Rattus norvegicus: one gene and its partner. The main gene of each other region encodes a partner of the protein of the gene in region 2 in a complex. Links are inferred from orthologs where the notes say so. Each region holds a gene or a part of one and is shown on either strand. Other genes may lie near its edges.

The links.
Region 1: Rgs9 (region 2) and Rgs9bp share a complex: the UniProt entries of both Homo sapiens proteins name them as parts of the RGS9-1-Gbeta5 complex. The link is inferred for Rattus norvegicus from reciprocal best matches to the Homo sapiens genes RGS9 and RGS9BP.

Annotation. Positions count from the first base shown.
Region 1 is NC_086019.1:97,385,744-97,388,427, reverse strand, and holds Rgs9bp (regulator of G-protein signaling 9-binding protein), read left to right. Parts: upstream 1-1,388; coding exon 1,389-2,102; downstream 2,103-2,684. UniProt on the Homo sapiens protein: Regulator of G protein-coupled receptor (GPCR) signaling in phototransduction. Participates in the recovery phase of visual transduction via its interaction with RGS9-1 isoform.
Region 2 is NC_086028.1:94,697,375-94,701,019, reverse strand, and holds part of Rgs9 (regulator of G-protein signaling 9), read left to right. Parts: intron 1-2,247; coding exon 2,248-2,732; intron 2,733-3,645. UniProt on the Homo sapiens protein: Inhibits signal transduction by increasing the GTPase activity of G protein alpha subunits thereby driving them into their inactive GDP-bound form. Binds to GNAT1. Involved in phototransduction; key element in the recovery phase of visual transduction.

The DNA of each region.
Region 1 (2,684 bases), on a different chromosome or scaffold from region 2:
CTGCGGACAGCAGAAGAACGGGAGAGCTAGGAGGCTTAGCCCGCAACGGGTCGGGGCGCGGGGGTGCCCAGCAGCCCAGCCTGGGGATCCAACTCAGCGCAGGGAGCCCCTCCCCCTTCCGCTCCCAGGCCCCGCCCGACCTCGGCGCCCCCAGAGAGTAGGGAGGCGGTGGAGGACACCCGCAGAATACACTTACTTAAGAGGCTACATAGTTTCACCTCTGTGCTACGACAGCACCTCTCGGATCCTGGGCTGGGACCTGAGTGCCCACCACCCGGGTGCGGTGGTTCCACTCTTCAGCTTACCTCTTTACTCCGCCGTTGGGCGGAACCCTGCTCCAGTCTGTCCAATAAGAGGTCATCTTAGCCGAGACTGACACGTAAACAGAGCAATCGTTAAGTCTAGTTCAGTCGGGGGTGGGGCCCAGGCGACTCCGCGCTTCCTACTCAGGCTAGCCCCGCCCAGAGTCAGGGAGTGCGCGTGCCCAGAATTCGAGAGGCGGGACCTAAGGAAGATCTGATATTAGGGGTGGGGTCCAAGCTGGGTCCCTGAAATGGTGTTGGACTGCGATGAAGAAAGAGAGTCCCATCTAAGTAACAATTCTACCAGGCCGATCGCCCTGTGCTGCTGGTGATGCAGACTGGAGGTGCCCAGTCTTCCGAGTCATCCTACTCTGTTGCCTACAGGGTCTCTTGGTCCTTTCCCTTCACTAGCATAGGCTCCGATAAGCTAAACCTTCTTTCTACCTAGTCTCACTTTTCCTAGTCTGCAAAGTAGTAAAAAACAAAACAAAACAAAACAACTTGGATTTGCATGGCGCTAAGGTTCCAGAATTATAATGGAAGGGAGAAGAGGAAAAGCTACACTTGACCTCTCTGGACTGGGCCCCGCCTACCCCTGGTCCAGGGATGTTGGGGGAGGCGGGGGGGGCGGGGGGCGGGGGGGCGGGGGGGCGAGAGGGCGGGAGGGAGGAAGCTCTCGGCCTAGACAGGCGGCTGGAGGCGTGTCCTAGAAAACGATCCTGCTGCCCTTGGCCAGGGCTAAGGCGCGCGGCTCAGCTTGAAGACTTGGGGTCGATCAGGATGGGGTCTGCACTCTGGGTTTCTCAGGGAGCCGCCGTGAAAAAGAAAGTTATGCAAAGACCCTACGCGTGACTCGGAGCGCGTCTAGGGAAAATGGAGGAGCGTTTGGGGAGCAGCTAACCAGACTACCTCTGTCTGTGGGAACGACAGAGGTGCATGTCGAGGGTCTCTGGAGAGCTCCGTTGAGAGCAGCGGCGAGGACATGAGGAGCATTCAGTCCGCTCTGCCCAAGATTGGCATCAGGGCTGGAGGCGACCTGCGACGTTGAGGGGTGCAAGTGGGGCACCACCGCCGGAGGGCAGCGCCATGGCCAGAGAGGAGTGCAAGGCGCTGCTGGACGCGCTCAATAAGACCACAGCGTGCTACCATCACTTAGTGCTTACTGTGGGCGGCTCCGCGGACACACAGGACCTACGCGAAGAACTGCAGAAGACCCGCCAGAAGGCGCGGGAGCTGGCCATGGCCACCGGCTCCCGGTTGACCGTCGCACTCCGCGACCGGAGCTTAGCTACCGAGGAGCGCGCGGAGTTTGAGCGTCTCTGGGTGGCCTTTTCGGGCTGCCTGGACCTGCTCGAAGCCGACATGCAGCGCGCACTGGCGCTGGGAGCCGCCTTCCCGCTGCACGCGCCGCGCCGGCCACTTGTTCGCACTGGGGTGGCCGGCGGCTCCTCTGCTGTAGCCGCGCGCGCCCTGAGCGCCCGCAGCCTGCGGCACGAAGCCGAGAGCGACTTCGACGTCGCCGATCTGCCCCAGTTGGAGCGCGAAGTCCTCCAGGTGGGCGAGATGATCGACAACATGGAAATGAAAGTCAACGTGCCCCGCTGGACTGTACAGGCGCGACAATCGGCGGGCGCCGAACTCCTGTCCGGTGCCAGTGCCGGAGCGTCCTCCGCGGGTGGCATTTCTGTAGAGGAGCGCGCGGGACCCTGCGACCCCAGCAGGGCCCTGGCTGCCACCGTTTTCAGCGCCGTGCTGCTGGTGGCTGTGGCCCTCGCCTTATGTGTGGCAAAGCTGAGCTGACTGATATCCAACGACCGTCCGCTGCCCCTTCTCTTTCCAGGGCATGGGCTTGGGGTTTGAACCGTTAAGGAGAGAGGTAGTGAGCCCGGATGTGTGCGTGTGAACATGATCCTCTCAAGGCCCACCTCTGCCTGGGCAAAACATATTTTGGTTTTGTTTTGTTTTGTTTTGTTTTGTTTTGTTTTGTTTTTAACATGCTGGCCCAAGAGGAGTTAACAGCACAGGGCGGTCAGGCCATTACCTCTAATGCCTGTAGGAGCTTTACCTCCTATTAATAGAAATCGGTCCACAGTGACCTCTGATCCCTTTGGGTTTGATGGGTTAACACATATGTCCCAGGTTTGGTGCCCTCACACTGGTTGGGAGCTCTCATTCTGCTTTAGACGAGGCAATTTGGTAAAGGTGTGGGGGGTTGTATAAAGCATGGTGGGGGGGGCATTTTGTTCCCTAGACAAGAAAGCAACTGTAGTAAGATGTGCGTGGGTACCTTAATCCTTCGGGGCCTAGGCTTTGGAAGAGTGTACTGAGAGAGGTTCATGCAAAGTGCTTTCTCTGTGGTACACTATTGCGCTTGGCAGAGAT
Region 2 (3,645 bases):
TTTTAAAAAAAGGAGCTGCTCACACCAGCTCTAAGCTAGGTTCTACTTTGTCTGTGTCCTGTCGCGTTTCTGCGTTCTGCACCACTTGTCTTGCATGCCGTGGCTTCGCTGCTCATATCATCGGTAGAAGGCGCATGAACTGGAGGGCTGGCTTACGGAGCGCAAGCCCGGGCCTTCACGGGAAGGAACAGAGTGGAAACACATGGTTTCCTGTGAGAAAGAGCTAGGGGAGAAAAAACTGTCCTGCATCAACTAGGAAAGTGGCCATTTGCCCGGGAGAGGCCATCTCAGGCCAGGTAAGTGACGAAAAGACAGTGGCCAACGTTTAGTTCTAGGCTCTAGGAAGGGGTGAGATGGGGAAGGGAGAGAGAGAGGGAAGGAAAGAGGAGGAGAAAGGAAGAGTCAAGCCACACAGTCTCTGTTAAGTTCCTTTATCTCCAGGAGCCTCAGACTTCTTATCTGTAAAGCGGGGTGATCTCTGGAGTTCATGACATATTCCAAGGCAGAGAGGTTCAGATGCACTTAGTAGGCACCTTACCCAACCCTCTTCCTCTCTCCTCTCTCTTAGTTCAATTCCAGGACATAGAAACTACACAGGCAGGGTGATGGCCCACACACATTAATAGGGACAGCAGGGGCTTTTGGGTCACACAGCGAGGCTCAGAAGCACATCTTGCCATTGTCTTAATTTCCTATTGCTGGGTAACAAGTGAGGTCGTTCTGCTCAGCTGCCCTAGAGTCTAGCTGACTCTACACTGGGCCTGGGTTGTTCGAATGACTGTGAGAGCGGGCCTCACTCTGAAGTTAGTAACCTCCTGCCCAGGGCTCTGGCAGCCCCCTTCAGTCTTAGGGTCTGAGCAAGACCTCTGTGTGGCTGTTGCAAGGAAGGTCTGTCCCTTATTGTAGTTCTTTATGGACCTCTCTTGGGAGCAGTAGTGGTTCAGCTGTCCCTAAGACACCACCCACCTCTCCTCGGGGCTTCTGTTCATGCCAGGCTGGCCTGTGGTAAATGCCTACAGCAGGCCTTCAGAAGGGACCCAGCAGCCCACAACAATTGACCCTCCTCCGTGACCTACAAAGGAAGAGGTAGCGGCAGTGAAGAGCTCAGGGAAACCTCTGCCTTAACTTCCTTGCTCAACTTGGAAAAAAGCTCCTTCAGGTTCCCTGAGCTGAAGAAAATGGCACACCCTCCCCTTCTGCACCAACACTCTGAACTCTGGGGCCATGATGGCCCGGACAATGAGATCCTTCCTTTTTCTCTGCTGAATCACAGAATCAACTGTAGAATTGCTTCTTTCCTGTGAGCTCCTCAGGTTCTACACACAGCCTTTCTCTCCTCAGTTCCCAGGCTGAGGGGGTACCTGGGCAGGTGCTAGTATTGGAGCCCCTAACACTTTGCCAGGGTGGACACAGGTGGGTGTGGTCTCAGGTGTGGAGGCCAGCAGGGCACCAGTTGCAGGTCTCCCCATTTGCACTGATCAGTTAACATTAAACTGTTGCAGTTAAATGTCTGGGTGCGGATGGCTCAGTGGGAAAGCACTTGCCTAGCGTGGGCAAAGTCATGAGTTCAATTCCCAGCAGAACACACACACACACACACACACACACACACACACACACAACAACAACAACAACAACAACAACAACAACAACAACAAAATAGTGTCAAATCCTCCAGGTCTAAAATGATGGTGTTTGACGAAGAGGTGACCTGGGGGTAGGAGGGACAAAAAGCTTCTGGAGATTTGATTTGAGGGGTAATCAAGTTTAGCAGGGTCACACCCCAGCACCCCAGGACTGGAAGAAAGTCAGTTTGTGGCAGATGGATTCTGGCAAGAGGTGTTTGTATGGCTGGCCGTGCCACTGTCACAGGTCCCTCAGGGTAACCTTTTCAATCGATCCCTCCTGGAGGCACCCAGAACAGATTGGCATCATTGGAAGGAGATTGAGTTAGATGAGGATAGTCTGTAAGGAGATCTGGTTAGATGAGGATAGCCCATCAGCCCTGGTGGCTAGAAGGAGATTGAGTGAGATAAGATTGTAAGGAGCTCAAATTAGATGAGGATAGCCCAACAGCCCTGGTGGCTGGAAGGAGATTGAGTGAGATGAGATAAGATTGTAAGGAGCTCAAATTAGATGAGGATAGCCTATCAGCCCTGGTGGCTGGAAGGAGATTGTGTTAGTTGAGATTAGCCTGTCGGCCCTGACATGCCTCCTTACTGAACTTCCTTTTCTCCTTTCCCACAGCCAGGTCAGCACTTGGCTCCCAGCCCTCACCTGGCCGTGTACACAGGGACCTGCGTGCCTCCCTCTCCCTCCAGCCCCTTCTCACCATCCTGCCGCTCGCCCAGGAAGCCCTTCCCTTCCCCAAGTCGCTTCATCCGGCGGCCCAGCATTGCCATCTGCCCCTCGCCCATCCGAGTGGCCCTGGAGGGTTCTTCAGGGCTGGAGGGCAAGGGGGAAGCCAGCTGGTCTGGTGCCAACCCTGGGCCCCCAGTCACTGAGAGCATCGAGACCTCTGTAGACCGCTCACGACCACACAGCCAGCCCAGGGCCCCGCTCAAGGCCCGCGCTGCCCTGTCCCTTGGCAGGTTTCTGAGACGGGGCTGTTTGGCATCACCAGTTTTTGCCAGGCTCTCACCGAAGTGCCCTTCTGTGTCACACGGGAAGGTGCAGCCTCTGGGGGACATGGGTCAACAGCTGCCCAGGCTGAAACCCAAGAAAGTAGCCAAGTAAGAAGCTGGGGGAGGGGCTGGTGTTGTGTGCATGTGGACAGTGGGTGTGGGTGTGGGTGTGGGTGTGGGTGGGGTCTGTGGCTTCATGGCAATGATGGAGGCGCAGGGCTGAAATGAGGACTGTGGAAACCAGTCAAAAGTAGCCTAATTATATCCCTAAGCGGCCAAATGTCCCCCAAACCCAGTCCCATCATCTCTCCCTCTTCCGGAGATGGGAAAGAGGCAGGAGTCTTTTTATTTCTTTATCTGTCCATTTCACACGCCTGCATTTGAAAGGGGCTTCAACACTAACCACAGGCTATCTTGTCCCCAAGACATGATTCCCCAGGGACTCCAACCCTTTCTTAAACCTTAGGTGTCATGGCCTCTTTGGTCCTCACTGACACCTGCCTGCTCTCCTAAAGGGCCTCAAAAGGATATTGGTTCCTGTGGTGGTTAAAGTCATGAGTGTCAGCTTCCAAGTCTGAAATCTGAGAACCCCAAGTGTCCCGAGGCAGCCACTGTGCGCACAGCACAGCAGAGGCCTAGAGGAGTGTTTGGGATCCACAGTGTGCTGGGATTTACAGGGTGCCCCAATCCACAGCTGGGGGGGGGCACTCAGAGGCACCCCCAAACCAATCGACACAATCCTACAGTTGGCCCTGCCTGAGTTCAGAGAAAAAAAAAGGTTATGCAGGAGCCTTAGGTTGCTATGGAGACCCAGAGAGCATGGTCTTTTCAGTGCAGTGAGTGTGGGGACAGCAGGGAGCACTGGCCACTGTCCCCTTCTTGCCTGTGGCTTGGATGAGTAGGAAGGGAGGTTGGATCTGTTGCTTTAGGAAATGATGAGGATGAGTTTGTCGATTCTCCTCAGCTGGCCCTGCTGGGAGAATGTTCTAGCTCCATGGCTACTGTCCCAGTTCACATATGG